4 linked regions of the Xenopus tropicalis genome follow. The protein of the gene in region 3 interacts with the protein of the main gene of each other region in a pairwise test. Links are inferred from orthologs where the notes say so. Each region holds a gene or a part of one and is shown on either strand. Other genes may lie near its edges.

Evidence for each region.
Region 1: the proteins of rnf5 (region 3) and abhd16a interact in binary tests that used the Homo sapiens proteins (3 or more experiments, as listed by UniProt). The link is inferred for Xenopus tropicalis from reciprocal best matches to the Homo sapiens genes RNF5 and ABHD16A.
Region 2: the proteins of rnf5 (region 3) and insig2 interact in binary tests that used the Homo sapiens proteins (3 or more experiments, as listed by UniProt). The two-hybrid records come from large-scale screens. The link is inferred for Xenopus tropicalis from reciprocal best matches to the Homo sapiens genes RNF5 and INSIG2.
Region 4: the proteins of rnf5 (region 3) and ube2w interact in binary tests that used the Homo sapiens proteins (3 or more experiments, as listed by UniProt). The link is inferred for Xenopus tropicalis from reciprocal best matches to the Homo sapiens genes RNF5 and UBE2W.

The regions. Positions count from the first base shown.
Region 1 is NC_030684.2:74,875,613-74,880,408, reverse strand, and holds part of abhd16a (protein ABHD16A), read right to left. Parts: intron 4,680-4,796; coding exon 4,623-4,679; intron 4,511-4,622; coding exon 4,444-4,510; intron 2,977-4,443; coding exon 2,890-2,976; intron 2,488-2,889; coding exon 2,402-2,487; intron 1-2,401. UniProt on the Homo sapiens protein: Phosphatidylserine (PS) lipase that mediates the hydrolysis of phosphatidylserine to generate lysophosphatidylserine (LPS). LPS constitutes a class of signaling lipids that regulates immunological and neurological processes.
Region 2 is NC_030685.2:90,826,592-90,831,387, reverse strand, and holds part of insig2 (insulin-induced gene 2 protein), read left to right. Parts: intron 1-1,079; coding exon 1,080-1,246; intron 1,247-1,343; coding exon 1,344-1,443; intron 1,444-4,796. UniProt on the Homo sapiens protein: Oxysterol-binding protein that mediates feedback control of cholesterol synthesis by controlling both endoplasmic reticulum to Golgi transport of SCAP and degradation of HMGCR.
Region 3 is NC_030684.2:73,546,845-73,552,299, forward strand, and holds the start of rnf5 (E3 ubiquitin-protein ligase RNF5), read right to left. Parts: upstream 3,172-5,455; 5' UTR 3,159-3,171; coding exon 3,058-3,158; intron 1,437-3,057; coding exon 1,418-1,436; intron 1-1,417. Other genes in the region: agpat1 (1-acyl-sn-glycerol-3-phosphate acyltransferase alpha), read left to right, coding at 3,399-3,501. UniProt on the Homo sapiens protein: Membrane-bound E3 ubiquitin-protein ligase that mediates ubiquitination of target proteins. May function together with E2 ubiquitin-conjugating enzymes UBE2D1/UBCH5A and UBE2D2/UBC4.
Region 4 is NC_030682.2:121,362,460-121,367,255, forward strand, and holds part of ube2w (ubiquitin-conjugating enzyme E2 W), read right to left. Parts: intron 3,426-4,796; coding exon 3,323-3,425; intron 1,096-3,322; coding exon 940-1,095; intron 1-939. UniProt on the Homo sapiens protein: Accepts ubiquitin from the E1 complex and catalyzes its covalent attachment to other proteins.

The DNA.
Region 1 (4,796 bases), about 1.3 Mb from region 3:
TTTATATTAACCTTTCATTGTCCTTTAAATCTACTAAAAGGTAATTTAAACATTAAATGAATTTAACAGGATTGTTTTGCCTTCAATAAGAATTATTTTTATCTTAGTTGGAATCAAGTACAGTACAAGTTACTGTTTTATTATTACAAAGAAAAAATAAACATGTTCTACATTTCTGAATTACTTGATTAAAAGGAGAAGGAAAGTCATTTCGGCATTTTACTGCCAATAGATTAGCCACATTAGAGCCACCTAGAATGCTATATTTATTCTGCAGAAAGCTTTAACATACAGTGGCTTTCAAAAGTATTTGGCCCCCTTGAACTTTTCCACATTTTGTCACATTACAGCCACAAACATGAATCAATTTTATTGGAATTCCACGTGAAAGACCAATACAAAGTGGTGTACACGTAAGAAGTGGAACGAAAATCATACGATTCCAAACATTTTTTACAAATAAATAACTGCAAAGTGGGGTGTGCGTAATTATTCAGCCCCCTGAGTCAATACTTTGTAGAACCACCTTTTGCTGCAATTACAGCTGCCAGTCTTTTAGGGTATGTCTCTACCAGCTTTGCACATCTAGAGACTGAAATCCTTGCCCATTCTTCTTTGCAAAACAGCTCCAGCTCAGTCAGATTAGATGGACAACGTTTGTGAACAGCAGTTTTCAGATCTTGCCACAGATTCTCGATTGGATTTAGATCTGGACTGTGACTGGGCCATTCTAACACATGGATATGTTTTGTTTTAAACCATTCCATTGTTGCCCTGGCTTTATGTTTAGGGTCGTTGTCCTGCTGGAAAGTGAACCTCCGCCCCAGTCTCAAGTCTTTTGCAGACTCCAAGAGGTTTTCTTCCAAGATTGCCCTGTATTTGGCTCCATCCATCTTCCCATCAACTCTGACCAGCTTCCCTGTCCCTGCTGAAGAGAAGCACCCCCAGATCATGATGCTGCCACCACCATATGTGACAGTGGGGATGGTGTGTTCAGAGTGATGTGCAGTGTTAGTTTTCCGCCACACATAGTGTTTTGCATTTTGGCCAAAAAGTTCCATTTTGGTCTCATCTGACCAGAGCACCTTCTTCCACATGTTTACTGTGTCCCCCACATGGCTTGTGGCAAACTGCAAACGGGACTTCTTATGGTTTTCAGTTAACAATGGCTTTCTTCTTGCCACTCTTCCATAAAAGGCCAACTTTGTGCAGTACACGACTAATAGTTGTCCTATGGACAGATTCCCCCACCTGAGCTGTAGATCTCTGCAGCTCGTCCAGAGTCACCATGGGCCTCTTGGCTGCATTTCTGATCAACGCTCTCCTTGTTCGGCCTGTGAGTTTAGGTGGACGGCCTTGTCTTGGTAGGTTTGCAGTTGTGCCATACTCCTTTCATTTCTAAATGATCGCTTGAACAGTGCTCCGTGGGATGTTCAAGGCTTTGGAAATCTTTTTGTAGCCTAAGCCTGCTTTAAATTTCTCAATAACTTTATCCCTGACCTGTCTGGTGTGTTCTTTGGACTTCATGGTGTTGTTGCTCCCAATATTCTCTTAGACAACCTCTGAGGCCGTCACAGAGCAGCTGTATTTGTACTGTCATTAGCACTCATCAGGCAATGTCTATGGGCAACTGACTGCACTCAGACCAAAGGGGGCTGAATAATTACGCACACCCCACTTTGCAGTTATTTATTTGTAAAAAATGTTTGGAATCATGTATGATTTTCGTTCCACTTCTCACGTGTACACCACTTTGTATTGGTCTTTCACGTGGAATTCCAATAAATTTGATTCATGTTTGTGGCTGTAATGTGACAAAATGTAAAAAATTTCAAGGGGGCCGAATACTTTTGCAAGCCACTGTACCCGAGTAAAGAGCCCTAGAAGCTCCCTCCTGGTATCTTAGCATACTTAGTGAACGTATAATGCCTGCCTTGCTTCATCTTTGCAATGTGACATGGAGCTTTTTCAGGGGCTTAATATTTCAGTTGCTGAAAAATCCCCCAACAGCACTTGTCAGGACATTGTTGCATGAAAAGCTGCACAACTGCTTTTTCAAACAACTGTCACCTAATAAGCACAATTCATAGGCAGAACAAGAGAGAATGTATGAAAAAAGTTATGTTGAAATGAGGTTTAGGAATTAGCCACTCCCTCTTAAAAATATGTAACAATAAACCATAATCTCTCAGATATGCTTACTCAAATATCAAGGCACTTATGTTAATACTGCAAACCCATTTTTTTAGTTGCAGTCTCCACCCATCACACACACCATAATACTTATGTATCACATATTTAAAAAAACACAGCACCTGGAACTTGGAAATTACAGTTGTAATTAAATGGCATACAGGCAGAAAAAGCACCTATGCAACACAGGCATGCTCTAGCACCTTACTTTGTTCTCTGGGTTGTTTTCTATCTTGGTTCTCTCTAAAATGTAAATAAACTGAATATAATGAGGGTTGCTCCATCTGCCAATACCTGCAGGGAAAGACAGTACAATGTAAAAAGTGATAAGTTGCATTTTTCCACATCATCTGACTGGGGCCATTTGGCCACATGAGAACCTTATGCGTAATCAGTCCAGTTATGTTGATGGCCAGATCACATCTGAACTGCATACTCATAAAGAGGTCATCAGCAGATAAAATCAAACTAAGATCCACTGTCATAATTTAGTAAAACTACTAAACATGAGGCTTAGCAATGAAGTTGCTAAACCCCACCAATCTATATATAACTAGCTATAAGTGTCTTATACATCATTAAAGGGAAGAATTTAATTGCTAATGCAGGATCAGCATTCTTATAAAGCAGTGTGTAAAATAGTAAGTACACGTAGCTCTGTTTTTTAATCATGCTTTGTCCTATAGTTTTCCTTACCTCTCAAGCACACAACCCCTGCCAGCAGAAGTAGAAATGTCAGACCATATTGTCCAAGGGGAACCAATCGGGACATGTTCAGATAACCTGAAACCCAAAAAGATGATTGTCAGCACAGAGATATCAAAAGCACAGATCTAACTACATCAGGCATTTTTGTAAAGGGAAATAACAAAAATTAAACAAAAAAGTTAAATAACATTCTACATACACATGTTTTTTCAGAAGACTGGAAGTACAGAAAAGGAGGCAGAAGAGCTGAACATAAGAGATGGCATGTCAAGAAAGCAGTACCAATAGAATTAAAAAAATGAGTGCATAATCAGTAGTTAAGACAACTGAATAGGTTAAAATTAGTATTAAGAAGGAAAATATTGGGAAAGTCATACAAACAAGCATAAATACAGTGTTAAAGCACCCAAAACAACACCCCACTTACTTACACTATAATCACAAGTCAGGCACTTCTGCCAGTGCTTATTAGGTGACAGTTGTTCGAAAAAGTAGCTGTGCACCCTTTATAAGCAACAATCTCCTGACAATTGCTGATATAACCAATTGTCAGGTAATTGCAATGTTAGTCTGTAGTAGGGATTTTTTTCAGCAACTGAAAGGTTAAGCCCCTGAAAAACTCCATGTCACATTGCATTAACTTTGGGACATTATGCACATCAGTCTGAGCTCACAGTGACTGTACAATGAAAGAGTTAATGGTTAGTTGTTTGAAGGATGGTTTGAAAAGCTGTTGGATGGATAACTGGCTGTCATTATTAATCAACTTAAAGACAGAAAAAAAGACATCCAGTGTATGTAATTTAGCGCTAAAGCAGCTAATATAGCAGTGCTACACACAGAACATTTATTGGTTACAATACCAAAGAAACCAAAGATATTTGCTAGTGCCTCATGGCCCCTATGCTCTGTTTCCATATGCATGCATTTTGCACTATATCAGACTATATCTCTGATGAAGCCCCCAATGGTGGGAAACGTATAAGTAGGGCGGAGCATGGGGGCCATGTGGCACTAGGAAGTGACTATGGTCATTTGGTATGGTATGCATTTTTTACTGAATTTTTTTAATTTGATCTGTAGCCAATAAATATTCTGTGTGTTGCACTGCTGTGTTGTTGTTGTTGTTTATCTGGAGAATTATGGGGTATCCAGTATGGAATAATTATTTTTTCCTACTTTTTAAAAAAAATAAAAAAAAAATAAAAATGTATTTAACACCAATACACTGGACCCCAGGTACCCATTTAAATCACATTACTGATAACTGCCAAAGCATTATGGTGTCCCAGTATACCCAAGCAAAACCAAGAGCTGTGCAATTTTGCTAGTCAACACCTTTTTTGTCTGTGGCAGTTCTGTAGAAATCTGCAGCAAAATAGTAACACCATCATTACAAATTGTATAATCACATCATCAAATAACAGCTTCCATATGTGTACGCTAAGAAAGTTTGTGGATAATTTTTCACCTTTATGGCAGCGAACACAACACAAACTATATTAATTACTGTATTGATTGCATGTTGACAAGATTCCATACCTTTTCTGTACATATAGCAGATAGCAAGAGGGGATGAATAATAGGAAATGGTCCACAAGACTGAAACCTAATGGGGATAGAAAAAACCCAACAGCATAAAATACCATTATTTTAATGTAAAAGTGTTTTTATCTAGTCCTATCAATAACCAACTACAGCAATAGGAATTCCATACGTACCCAAGCTAAAATGCTATCTGTGTGTTTCTCCAGTGCTCGTGGCTGATAAAAAGACTCCTTTAAAGAAACAATAATTGGTAAGGAATACAAGACAATATGCTATTAACAGTAAAAAATAATGCAAAATATAATCTCAACTTTATTCTTAAACCCAGCCAAGTAAAATATTTATTA
Region 2 (4,796 bases), on a different chromosome or scaffold from region 3:
GACCGACCCCTGAAACAGTGTAACACAAGGCAGCAGCCTGACAGACCTGACTCGCTGGGGGAGACTGACCCCTGAAACACAGGGCAGCAGCCTGACAGACCTGACTCGCTGGGGGAGACTGACCCCTGAAACACTGTAACACAGGGCAGCAGCCTGACAGACCTGACTCACTGGGGGAGACTGACCCCTGAAACAGTGTAACACAAGGCAACAGCCTGACAGACCTGACTCGCTGGGGGAGACCGACCCCTGAAACAGTGTAACACAAGGCAGCAGCCTGACAGACCTGACTCGCTGGGGGAGACTGACCCCTGAAACACTGTAACACAAGGCAGCAGCCTGACAGACCTGACTCGCTGGGGGAGGACTGACCCCTGAAACAGTGTAACACAAGGCAGCAGCCTGACAGACCTGACTCACTGGGGGAGACTGACCCCTGAAACAGTGTAACACAAGGGCAGCAGCCTGACAGACCTGACTCGCTGGGGGAGACTGACCCCTGAAACACTGTAACACAGGGCAGCAGCCTGACAGACCTGACTCGCTGGGGGAGACTGACCCCTGAAACAGTGTAACACAAGGCAGCAGCCTGACAGACCTGACTCGCTGGGGGAGACTGACCCCTGAAACACTGTAACACAGGGCAGCAGCCTGACAGACCTGACTCGCTGGGGGAGACTGACCCCTGAAACACTGTAACACAAGGCAGCAGCCTGACAGACCTGACTCGCTGGGGGAGACTGACCTGAAACATTGTTTCAAAGTCATAACCAGGAGTTCAGCAAATGCTTCTTGAATAGCAATTACATTTACTAATAACTTTTAAAGGTCTAACAATTTTTTTTTTATAAATTCATGTTTTCTTTTATTAGGCAAAAATGTTTTGTTTGGGTTGACTTGTCCTTTAAAAATATCCCTTCTAACAGTTTTATTAACATATAGGCCATTTGCCCCCAGGGGGGGGGAGTATTATCGTATAATAGGGTAACGTGTGTGTGATACATATGGTGGGAAGGATTGGTGTTACTGTCCCTTTAATAGTCGAGAGTGCGGGTCGGTTCTCCTTGACTCCAGTGCAGAAAGTGGACTTTGCCAACAACACGCAGCTGTCTCTCACTCTGGCCGCTCTCTCCATCGGCCTGTGGTGGACATTTGACCGCTCTCGCAGTGGCCTGGGCCTGGGAATTGGAATCTCTTTCTTTGCTACAGTCGTCTCTCAGCTCCTGGTGTACAATGGGGTGTATGAGTGAGTACAGCGCCCCCCCCCTCCCACTGTGACCCCCCCCAGGGGCCCCTCTCCCAACTGGCTGCTTGGGGTGTGACACTGTGTTTGTTGTGCCCAGGTACACGGCCCCCGATTTCCTGTATGTGCGCTCCTGGCTGCCCTGCATATTCTTTGCTGGGGGGATCACTATGGGCAACATTGGCCGGCAGCTGGAAATGGTACGTACCACTCTCTGTACAGGGGGGCTTAGTCCTGGCCCCCCCACATCTTGCTGGGCTGAAACTTAGAGAACTTTATGGTGGGTGGGCGGGTGCACTGGGTCGGATTCTTGGTACTTGTTCTGTTGGCATGGGATGGGTGGGTACATATCAGGATGGGGGGGCTGTAGGGTATTGGTTGAGGAGGCTTGGCATGGTGCTAGCTGTGTTGGCAGGGGATGGGTGGGTACATATCAGGATGGGGGGGGGCTGTAGGGTATTGGTTGAGGAGGCTTGGCATGGTGCTAGCTGTGTTGGCATGGGATGGGTGGGTACATATCAGGATGGGGGGGGCTGTAGGGTATTGGTTTGAGGAGGCTTGGCATGGTGCTAGCTGTGTTGGCATGGGATGGGTGGGTACATATCAGGATGGGGGGGCTGTAGGGTATTGGTTGAGGAGGCTTGGCATGGTGCTAGCTGTGTTGGCAGGGGATGGTGGGTACATATCAGGATGGGGGGGGGGGGCTGTAGGGTATTGGTTGAGGAGGCTTGGCATGGTGCTAGCTGTGTTGGCATGGGATGGGTGGGTACATATCAGGATGGGGGGGGCTGTAGGGTATTGGTTGAGGAGGCTTGGCATGGTGCTAGCTGTGACATAACAAACTGTATAAGTTGGATGAAACCATGAGATATTTCTGTTTATGCTGAAATGTACCCCCTGCCCCCCTCCTACCTGTTGTAGCAAATGCATTGTGTAGGTTAATCTCATCTAGGTGTGTATTGTGTGTATCCAGCCGGCTCTGTCTGGCCCTCCCCATGTAATTGCCCCTATTGTGAGGGCACACAGAGCCAGACCCCATAGTGACACAATACACATAGTTACCCCTTGTGAGAGCAGTGCTCTGTCTAGTAAATGCAAAAGACTGAACTGGGCATGCTCACTAGGTGGCTTCCCATAGGCCCAGTGGGATTAGCTATGATTGGCCCCTCTGGAAGCTGCCTTTGGGTTGGCAGAAGGAGTCAAATCCTGTTTTGGTTTTACGACAGGGGCTGTTCCCTTTCTGGCTACAAAGGTGGCTGCCAAGAGTTCCAAGGAGCCTTTTGTCTGGGGTGTAACCTTAGCTACGGCAGGACCCCCTCCCCTGTGTTCCCCTGGAATCTACCTTAGCTGGGGCAAGAAGATTCCCCCCAACTGTGTGTATTTCCCTACTCCCTAAGGAACAAGAGTGCAGGCTGGCTACCACCTACTGGCTTATGGGAACCTGCTGATGGCTACTTGCCATTTCTCCAATAAACGCCTCATCCTGTGATACCAACTGTTTGCTCTTTGGGTCCTGCCCTATGTCTGGGAACTCACGGCCCTGAGGGTGTGACACCAGCTGTGTTGGCAGGGGATGGGTGGGTACATATCAGGATGGGGGTGCTGAAGGGTATTGGTTGAGGAGGCTTGGCATGGTGCTAGCTGTGTTGGGATGGGTGGGTACATATCAGGATGGGGGGGCTGTAGGGTATTGGTTGAGGAGGCTTGGCATGGTGCTAGCTGTGTTGGGATGGGTGGGTACATATCAGGATGGGGGGGCTGTAGGGTATTGGTTGAGGAGGCTTGGCATGGTGCTAGCTGTGTTGGGATGGGTGGGTACATATCAGGATGCGGGGGCTGTAGGGTATTGGTTGAGGAGGCTTGGCATGGTGCTAGCTGTGTTGGGATGGGTGGGTACATATCAGGATGCGGGGGCTGTAGGGTATTGGTTGAGGAGGCTTGGCATGGTGCTAGCTGTGTTGGGATGGGTGGGTACATATCAGGATGGGGGGGGCTGTAGGGTATTGGTTGAGGAGGCTTGGCATGGTGCTAGCTGTGTTGGCATGGGATGGGTGGGTACAGATCAGGATGCGGGGGCTGTAGGGTATTGGTTGAGGAGGCTTGGCATGGTGCTAGCTGTGTTGGCATGGGATGGGTGGGTACATATCAGGATGGGGGGGCTGCAGGGTATTGGTTGAGGAGGCTTGGCATGGTGCTAGCTGTGTTGGGATGGGTGGGTACATATCAGGATGGGGGGGGGCTGTAGGGTATTGGTTGAGGAGGCTTGGCATGGTGCTAGCTGTGTTGGCAGGGGATGGGTGGGTACATATCAGGATGGGGGGGCTGAAGGGTATTGGTTGAGGAGGCTTGGCATGGTGCTAGCTGTGTTGGGATGGGTGGGTACATATCAGGATGCGGGGGCTGTAGGGTATTGGTTGAGGAGGCTTGGCATGGTGCTAGCTGTGTTGGGATGGGATGGGTGGGTACATATCAGGATGGGGGGGGCTGTAGGGTATTGGTTGAGGAGCTTGGCATGGTGCTAGCTGTGTTGGCATGGGATGGGTGGGTACATATCAGGATGGGGGGGCTGAAGGGTATTGGTTGAGGAGGCTTGGCATGGTGCTAGCTGTGTTGGGATGGGTGGGTTACATATCAGGATGCGGGGGCTGTAGGGTATTGGTTGAGGAGGCTTGGCATGGTGCTAGCTGTGTTGGCATGGGATGGGTGGGTACATATCAGGATGCGGGGGCTGTAGGGTATTGGTTGAGGAGGCTTGGCATGGTGCTAGCTGTGTTGGCATGGGATGGGTGGGTACAGATCAGGATGCGGGGGCTGTAGGGTATTGGTTGAGGAGGCTTGGCATGGTGCTAGCTGTGTTGGCATGGGATGGGTGGGTACAGATCAGGATGCGGGGGCTGTAGGGTATTGGTTGAGGAGGCTTGGCATGGTGGCTAGCTGTGTTGGGAATGGGTGGGTACATATCAGGATGGGGGGGCTGCAGGGTATTGGTTGAGGAGGCTTGGCATGGGTGCTAGCTGTGTTGGGATGGGTGGGTACATATCAGGATGGGGGGGGCTGTAGGTATTGGTTGAGGAGGCTTGGCATGGTGCTAGCTGTGTTGGCATGGGATGGGTGGGTACATATCAGGATGGGGGGGGGCTGTAGGGTAATTGGTTGAGGAGGCTTGGCATGGTGCTAGCTGTGTTGGCATGGGATGGGTGGGTACAGATCAGGATGGGGGGGCTGTAGGGTATTGGTTGAGGAGGCTTGGCATGGTGCTAGCTGTGTTGGGATGGATGGGTGGGTACATATCAGATGGGGGGGCTGTAGGGTATTGGTTGAGGAGGCTTGGCATGGTGCTAGCTGTGTTGGGATGGGTGGGTACATATCAGGATGGGGGGCTGTAGGGTATTGGTTGAGGAGGCTTTGCATGGTGCTAGCTGTGTTGGCATGGGATGGTGCGGTACATATCAGGATGGGGGGCTGTAGGGTATTGGTTGAGGAGGCTTGGCATGGTGCTAGCTGTGTTGGGATGGGTGGGTACATATCAGGATGCGGGGGCTGTAGGGTATTG
Region 3 (5,455 bases):
TTTGACTACTGTAACCTGCTACTAACCGGCCTCCCTAACTCCAATCTCTCCCCCCTACAGTCTATATTAAATACTGCTGCCAGAATTCTCCTCCTCTCATCCAGGAGAGTTCAGGCCCTTCCCCTGCTAAAGTCCTTATCGTGGCTTCCTGTTAAACAAAGAATATCTTACAAACTCCTTCTCTTAAAGGAACAGTAACACCAAAAAATCAAAGTGTATAAAAGTAACTAAAATATAATGTGCTGTTGCCCTGCACTGGTAAAAGTTGTGTGTTTACTTCAGAAAGTCTACTATAATTTATATAAATAAGTTGCTATGTAGCCATGGAGGTAGCCATTCAAAGGAGAAAAGGCACAGGCACATAGCAGATAACAGATAAAACACTATTGTATTCCACAGAGCTTATCTGTTATCTGCTATGTAACCTGTGCCTTTTCTCCAGCTTGAATGGCTGCCCCCCATGGCTACACAGCAGCTTATTATATAAATTATAGTAGTGTTACTGTAGCAAACACACCAGTTTTACCAGTGCAGGGCAACAGTGCATTATATTTTTATTACTTTAAAGCTCTTTCATTTTTTGGTGTTACTGTTCCTTTAACCTTCAAAGCCCTCCATTCCTCTGCTCCTCACTACATCTCTTCCCTTGTGTCTCTGTATGTTCCTGGCCGACTCCTTCGTTCCTCACAGAGCGATCGTTTGGTTGCGCCCCCCACTACTACTGCTGTTTCCCGCCTTAAACTTTTCTGCCTTGCTGCCCCTTACATTTGGAATGCCCTCCCTGATTTCCTCCGAAGAGAATCCTCCCCCAGTCTTTTTAAAATTAAACTTAAAGACTACCTTTTGGAGCACTCACCCAGCACCTGATCTGGGAATCAGCACTTATATTGTAGTGTCACCCACTGTGACCTACAGCACTTATAGTGCATTTGCCTATTTGTGTCTGTAAGTTACCCTCCCATATAGATTGTAAGCTCTACGGGGACCTCCATCTTCTTGTGTCTTTGACTCTTAACTTATTGCAACTGTATTTATCTTGTATCTATCTGTATTTATTGTTGTACTTTGTATTTATCTATTATTTAATAATCCCCTGTTTGTATTAATGTATTGTACTGTACAGCGCTGCATACATAAGTAGCGCTTTATAAATTAAGATATACATACATACATACATACTTTTCACTATATGAACAGGTTGCAGTCAATATGCAAACGGTTTGAACTACTACAAACAAATAAAATACCCTTCATGTATACTACAGTAGTTTATCTATGTTATGCTTTTATTACAAATAAATATTTCTGTAACACTGAACATGTGATCTGAATGAAACCGTTAGCACTGCTAGCTGCTGCTGCTACAAAGCTAAAGAAGAATTTAACTCATTCTACTTTTTTATTAATAAATACATACCTGATGCAGACAAGGCCAGCTGTAAAACACAAACATAACATCAGAATACAGAACACAATGCAGTTTTAACGATCAGCGTTGTTATATAAACACACATACAGAAACTACAAGCAGTGGCATTTTACAAGCGTCTCTTCCATACAATACATATAAACAAAATCTGTTTACACTAACAAATCAGTGTTTATACTTTGGACACATTATCTGTTTAGCCTTGCGGTCGTTTGTGAAAAAATATTCATTTTAAACATATGAATCTGAACATACTTTGCGTTTTCTGGCTTAAGCCAAGTGAGTTTTAATGATATAATGAAATATGTAAAGCAAAATGCACTTTCTTTGGCTAAGACAAAAAACAATATTGTACCAGCTGTGCTTACAGGTTCTATTGGAATATTTGTGCTTAAAATGGCTGTGCTTGCAGATATAGCCTAGTTTATAATTCAATTGTAGAATTATGAAGACATTGATTTTCTAGAACAAGCATCAAAGGATCCTCTAATTGTCACCTTTAATTTCAAGCATCTACAGGGCACAGGCACATATGTACCAGCAATGTAGAATCTGCAGTTCCAGGGTTTCAGTTTAATCCAACAACACAAATCATGGCGTGGATCAAAGGGGCTCAATAAGTGAAAGGATTAATATATTCACTGTAAGATTGGGTTAAACATAGAAGATTGCAGGGTACAGTGAAAATACATCAAGAGAACCTGTTAAAATTTGCTTATAACAAGATTACAAAATGTCAAAGGGGAACTGATGCAAAAATAAAAATCAGCTTTATCTTAAGAAAATATGATTGGTCAAAAAATATATTTTGTACTATTTCTTTAATATTTAAGTTACTCTTCAGTCTGTTTTTTTTGTTCATGGAGTAGTCAGTGAGGACTAATTCATCATTGGGGATGCATTCCAATTGCCTAAAGGAAATCACTCTTTCAAAATAACCAACTCGCACACAATCTTGATCCTCTACATGAATTATTTGTGCTTAAGTCTGCTTTTATGAAAGAATTAACTCAAATACATCTTCTATGGCAGGCAATGGGAGCCCCACCCAATAGCTGTATTAAACATGATTGTCAATCATAATCAGACTCCTGCTTCAAGAAAAAAAAAAAAACAGAAAACATTGAAACAATGTAACAGTAAGGTCTCCATTTTTATTTTATTTTATTTTATTTTTTTAAATCATTGCAGACAATTTTCCTTTTTTCATTGCAAAAAAATAGTTTTTGTATGGAGGCAAATTTTAATACGTTTAGAAGGTTTGTTTTTCATGACATGCAACTTATATTGCATTTTAGTTACCCTTTAACATGCTGTAGCTACAGGTCACATGATATGGTTCTAAGAGCATTCAACACATTCCAACTAGTACTCTGGGCCTCATTCTTTCCCCTCATCCAATGCTTTGAGTCCTTTATAGGGGAACAGTTTCAGTTGGGGTGAAGCTTTCCTGAATATTTCGGTCTTGTACTTTACTGATAGCTTTCTGACCGTAGCCGAACCCCCTAACAATGCATTCCTACAGCAAACTAAATACATACCCACTGAAGGACACAGTCTCAGCAAAGCAGAATTAACAAGCTTAGCAGAGACCTGCCTACAGGGCAGACACATCACATTCCACTCACCAGTACAAATGCCCACACACGCTGACAACAGGTTCCCGCGCTGTCTCCAAGCAGATATTACACTCATAAGCCGCACCGGGGCTGCCAGCAGCCGCCGCCATGGCAACCGATCAACCGGAACCTAGCTGTGCAACTAGCGGAGCGTCACGGGAAAGGTTAAAGAGTGTATTGGACGCAAAGATAAACAAATCTTGTGTGTGATAGGGTGGACAAGTTCTCCATCACAATTATGCACCCCTATTGGCTATGCACTTTCTAGTTAGCTGTCAAGCAGTCAAAATGCTGATTGGTGATACTAGGATAATACGTGACATCGATTGGTTGTAACTCCCGTCACTCAAATGCTGACGACACCTCTTGTCTCGGATAACCGTTATGACGCGGCGTCTTGCGTTCGTGCGGGAGTGGAATACACGTTCCGGGCCCACAGGGTTTTTTTTTGTTGTAGGTTAAAAACTTTATTCCTTGTTAAAAGAAGGCAATAATGAACAATCCTTATTTGTAATCGGAGGTGAAGACTGTTATGGTAAAATTATTCGAGTAGAGTTACCAGCAGTGATACGTATTTTATAAACTACCGGATAACAATATATTTTATTGAAACTTGTGCAATATTATGCGATAGTTTCATAAGTGATGTGTTTAGAGGCCTGTCACCGGCAAAATCTGCAAGCAAACTTTGTATCTGTGCTATTAACGCTTAAGTACACACACATACTTCCACCCAGCCCTATATTATATTTATAGCTTTTACTTTGTAAACGGAAGATTCTGTTGGTTATATTTAGCATCGTTCAGACTGTAGGTCGGAAAACAAAATCGATGACTGGTTTTTTTTGGTGGGGGGAGGTGGTTTTCTATGTTTTTTCCTTTAGTGAATTTTCTTCCTACTAAAGGCAGTACTGATTCAAATTTATATATTATTATTTATTCTAAACCAGTTCTTGAAGCAACACCAAGCCTGACTTCCAGGCTAAATCTTAGTTCCCTGAGAACAAGTTTGATAAACCCTGATTAAGATATTTTAAATGTAAGTAATAGTAGTAAGAATGCAGGACAAAATGCCATATATTTAGTTCCTATAATTTTGTAGATGACAGTTTTTTGTTTTAATAACTATAGATACAATAAATGCATGTGTTTTCCTTTAGTAAGGTTACTGTATTACTGTAATAAATACATTTTTTGTTACTTAGAATCTGAAGATAAGTGGTTCCTGTATAATGAAACCATACAGAAACAACTCTTAAGGTGGCCATACACGGGCCGGTTGTAGCTGCCGATATCGGTCCCTTAGACCAATTCGGCAGCTTATCGGCCCGTGTAGGGGCAGGAACAACGGGCGACCTCACCAAGCGAGCGGATCTTAACATGTATGGTCACCTTTAGGGTAGTGGCACTTAGAGTCAGGCCAGGACTGGCAATCTGTGGATTCTGGCAAATGGCAGAAGAGCTGCTGCAAGGTGACAGACCATCGTTATCTATTGGGCTTTCTGGGAGCAGTTTGGGCGTCTCTGTAGTTTAAATTCCCATACATATTTTGAATTCCAGTCTGGACCTTATAGGAGTGCCACATTTAGAAGCAGGTCAAAAATGCAGCCCCAAAGTCAGGTATTGACACCCACCAATTTATATTTAATGACTGAATGGCTCTACTGCAAGCATGTGTCAAGCATTACAGAGTACGGCAAGTGGTGGGTGACCTTAGGCTATCTGTTGCCACAGTTATGGATTGCTTAAAAAAGCAGTGCAGAAAAACATGCTATTGCTTTTAGTGTAGTGGTACAAGGGTCAGGCTCTGTGCACTTTGTTTTTAAATAGACAAAAATGCTGCATCATAGTGCCTTAAAACTACAACTCATAGACTGGCATTGAAATTGTCTGAATTTTGCGCGCTCTTGTCAGGCAGTGGTTGTCTGAAAAAGCAACAAGTTTATCAAGTGATAATTTGACAAGCTCTGTCACAACATGGCATTAAAATGTGGCTCTCAAATAATCTTGTCTACCATTACCCTTAAAGTGTTGTGTTACTAATTATATAATTAATTAAGATAAGGCGATACACTTGGCAAAAAGCATTATGGTAGTTTGTGCTGCTGAACAAATGATACAAATTCTGGGTGAGAACTGAAATGGCCTTTGGCCTCATCAAGGTGTTAAAAACTCTATGTAGTTGGACAGAGTTCTGGCTATGTGCTGATCAACCTGCTGGGATCAGATTATTTTTTTTTTTTATTATCCTTTATTTATATAGTGCCAACACCTTTATACAGAGGTTTTCATAGACTCTATATCACTATACAGGCTACTGTCAAATGCCATATTTTTTCTGCAGGTGGGAAAAAATAAAATTTTGGCTCTATACTTCCCAGTGTTATGTACATTTTCTGACTGACCG
Region 4 (4,796 bases), on a different chromosome or scaffold from region 3:
TAAATAAGTGTTAAACTAGTAACTGTGTGCAAAAGCTCTCATCCTACAAAATTACTCTACTATAAAGACATGTCTCATTTATAAACCATAAGGCAGGGATCCCCAACCTATTTTACCCATGAGAAAAATTTCAATTAAAACAAGCTGGGGAGCAACTCAAGCACAAAAACTTTCCTAGTAGGTGACCAATAAGGACTCAAATTGGTTAATAAGAGCCGAATGTGGACTGGCAGACTACTAGAGGCTTGGTTCACGTGGTCTTTATGCCTCCAAGTCAGAAATTAAAAAATGGGCACCAACTTTGAGGCCATTGGAAGCAACATCAACATCAACATCAACATGTTGCTCACAAGCCACAGGTTGGGGATCACAGCCTTAAAAGACAAGGAAAGGTTAAGTCACTTGGGGATGCCAAAATGTTAGGCACCCCCAAGTGACTTTAATCGCTTACCTTGTACCCCGGTACCTGTAGCGAGCGCTTCCTCCTTCCTGCTTCGTTTTGCCGGGACCCCAGGACCGGCGCATGCGCAGTAGAGTGAAAAGCCGACTTCTCTGTTTAAGTTCAGCTTTTCACTCTAATGCGCATGCGCGTGCGTGAGCGATACAGGAAGGAGGAAGCGCTCGCTGCAGCTACCCTGGGCTGGTGCTGTTTTCTCCTAACAGGGGCACCAGCCCAGGGTAAAAGGTAAGCAATTTAAGTCAATTGGGGGTGCCTAACATTTTGTCTTAATAGTAACATCCTGTAATGTCTTAAGCTCTGGGTGGCATTAAAAATGATTTATTTAAAGAGACATGAATTGATTGGTTCTAGTTATCAATATTAAGTTAGCATGCAAGATTTCTCAGAAACAAATACATTTCAGATGTCCATGCAGACACATGAAAGGCCCATCTATTCACTCATGATCTATAAAGATTCAGTGCCGCTGGCAAACTCACCTTTTCTTTGCAGCTGGAAAGCATGCTGATAATGCTAAGACAGACAGACTGAACAGACAGGGCTGGGGACCAATCTTCGGTTAATATTGATAAACATATATGGCCGTTGCTATATACATGAGGATGAACAGGGATGTTGTCACCAGTAAACATAACCTAAAAAGAGGAAATGTGCAAGGTGTAAGGTTATATAACAGGCTTATTAATACTGCATATATCATAATCACGTCTGGCACCTAGCACCCTGATGGCACATGTTTACTGTGGGATTCTATCAGTTAATTTTAAAGGGGGGGACAGGTTGGCCATACCTATTTTAGATGCATGTACATTTAAAAGTAATGCAGAGGGTCAAAACATGAAAAATAATATATTACTGCAAATATTGTTTTTCATGTAATGTTTAGGATATATGAGTAGAATATAGTAACTTATGACATGAGGGGTAATTTCTAGCTAGCTGAAAAGTGCCCATGACTGCCACCCACAGTTCCATGCACTTGAATAAGAAACAGGCGGCACTGAAGAGTATGCACTCACTCTGAACATATTTAGCCTATCCAGTCTGACCATTATAGTGCCCATTCTTCCCCAGAGGCTAACTTACAGTTAATGATGTTGACCTGTTACATTTGATTTATAACAGGGGTCAGGAAAGTGCTATGTGTGCCATTTAGAGCAAACAGATCTACAGGGGGCCTTCCTTGTGTATGTAACACAAACTGCAACTGAACATCAGGAATAATTTGTCTGGTTCCTAACAGGTTTAAAAGGTAAGCAGGCTTTACCCTCTCCAGTTACTAGGTCTTTGCAGGGCTGATTCTAATGTGTAGCTAATTTACAAACCACAAAAAAAATTAATTACCTTGGATCCTGGAGCTGATAAAGTTCAGATAATTGTCAACACTACAAATGATGCATACTAAAATTTGGCATGTAAAATAAAAATAAGCCTAACCAAAGGGGCTGTGATTTACTGTTTGTTAGCCCCATGTTGAATGCTAGCTAGCAGGAGGCTCTCGGTGTTTCCAAAACGTGTCTCTGGGAGGCCATTGGGAGCAACTAGTATTACTTCCTTTGGTAAATACAATATTATTGCCAAGTACAAAAGGTCCAATGGAAATAAATACAATATTCTAAATAGCTTAAACACAGAAAAAAAAGTGGGGGGGGGGGGGGGGGGAGTCAAATGATTTATGTACATTCCCTGGCCCTACGTTTCATTAGTTATTTTTTTGTGCAAGTGCATATATATTATATAAAATTATATTTTAGATTTATATTATATATAGATATTTTCTTGAAGCAAATATAAGCAAGAAAAAATATTGTACACACACAGAAAGTAACTAGATAGTAAGTAAGATCTACCTAGATAGTAGTATGTACCCCACTAGGAATTCTAAGTTTTTAAGAAAAAGGTATCGCTACCTACCAGTTATAAAATACACACATATACTTGCATTTCAAACTTAGTAAAACATGTAAATTAAAAGACTAAAATATTTAAGTTACATACTTTCCCGCTTCTTGAGAGAAACTAAAAAACTATGAGTATGTTAAACATTTTTGTGATTTAGTGATATTTACTCATTCTGAAATGCCATTATTTTTTTTATTTTATTTTTTTACACAGACATCAGACATACCAGATTCCACAAACTGAAAGGAGTTCATGATAGTCTGTCTCTGTGAACACTGGGAGCAGTTCTTTATCTGGTCTAGGCTCCCAGTGTAACTGTTGAAGTCCCTCTGCTTTCCATAGTGGGTGGTGCACAGATTCTCTGAAAAGCAGGGGGACATCAAGCCCCATAATACATTTCTATTTATCGTCACAAGTTCAGATATTATTCATGCACCATTTTTTACATAAGCCCAACAGAATGAGCTTACAGGGGACGAGGTTAAGTGATATGCGGGTCAGGAAAAATTCAACCCGCAAATGCTTAAGTTGCACCCAATCCTAACCCACAAAATATTGCCATTGTAAGACTTGAACCCAACCCATAACCATCTTTTCACTCTCTACGCTACTTCTGTGCTCACCTTAGACAGGAAAACCTTAGGAGCAAAGGAAGGGTGTACTTCCCCGGTCTGACCCATACCCTACTGAACCCATAACAGTTGTGAAAATTTTAACCCTAACCTGCTTGACCTAAGAGTAAACCTGTGGGTGTTGGGGGACAACCCATACATCACTAGAGGGGGTATATACAAAAAAATACATATGCTTCCTACCTACAAAAAAAATACTGTTTAAATAATTTACGGTAAATTTTTAGGATATGGCATATGTATCCTGTAGGTCTGCAGTCACAAAGGCAGAATATGAGCAATTCTTTGTTTTTACTTACGGTACACGATTTGCTCAAAAAAACATTACCTGAGGGGAATCAAAAGGATATCGACTGCTGAACTTAAATAAAAGCTGGAATTTCTCTCCTTCATATAATGTACCAGGCGCTCCTTCCATATCTACAATCCACCTAAAAATAAACGGATAGGAAATATTAATTGTTCTGTAAAAAAAAATATTGTTTTCCAAACATACAACCCCAACACAAACCAGAAATCCCTTTAAATTAAACTATAACCCTCTTGCCCTGTTGGCCAGTGTGAATAAGGGATCAGGGATGTGTTCCTAATTCCAGAAATGAGCACCTTGCTCTAACAGGAGTGACCAAACATCTTCCCTCCTTCCTCTTAACCTACATGTAAATGAATGGACAAACACACAGGTTTCACTACATAATATTAATATATCATTGGCTACTGTTGTGCACACAATATTGTCAGGTATTGAATCTAAATAAATGCCTCAACCTTGGAGGAAATACTGAGAGCGGCAGCTCACTTTTCTCCTGGGCAATGCATGCAAATATTAGCTCAGCACAGGGTGTTATGGAGTAACAAGCTCCAGGCAACAGGCTCTGGGCATTACGGCATGATACAAAAGGAGTCAATGTACACAGATCCATTACTCATGCTCATTAAAGGTTTATAATGCAAGATATTAAATTTGGATACTTTTATGGCATCACTGCACTTTTTTTCACAGCTCAATCATAAATTGGAAATACAATATAAATAACAATTAAGTTAATGGCAAGTTCATTAGATCTGTGTAGACAAGATCACACACAAAGCCAAATATTTCAATATTTATCTTCACTATGTAAAAATAATACCAGAAAAGTATGTTTTCTTAATATAAAACACATGGGGTCAAAAAAAACCGTTTAAGTCAGCTAACATTGGATTCTTGGGAGAAAGTTAATCTTTTAGCAGGATAATTATCCCAAACACAAGGCAGTTAACACTGGAGTGGCTCAAGGAAAAGAATGGTGAATAGGTTGCAATGTGCCAGAATCTGTTTAAAAATTAAGGTGCACAAGGGTCATCTTGAATAACAAAGAGAAAAGCTGGAAATACGGCCCCAAAAACATGCAAAGCTGGAGAACTAATTTGGTTACAAATATGGCTAGAAATGCTAAACTTACTGTACCACCCCAGAACTTCAGCATCCCTGTAACAGGCATAATCCAGGCCTACAAAGCTGTCAATAGGAGCTTGCCAGCTTGAATCTTGTTAGGCCAACTTGTGCGCGCTGTTGACAAGCTATGTTTAAGGGGTTCATGGAAATTATCAAGCACAAAATAAAGTTTGTCTGTCATACAAGTAGATGCTAAATTTGGATGCAAAATACAGTGATTTCTGAGATGCCATGTAAGGTGAGCCTTTATGTATTAGCCTTGTAGCATGACCTTTATATTACAGGTATGTGATCTTTTATCTATAAAAGCCCATCTCCCATAGACTAGATTTTATTCAAATAATTCAAAATCAGTCAGGGGTCT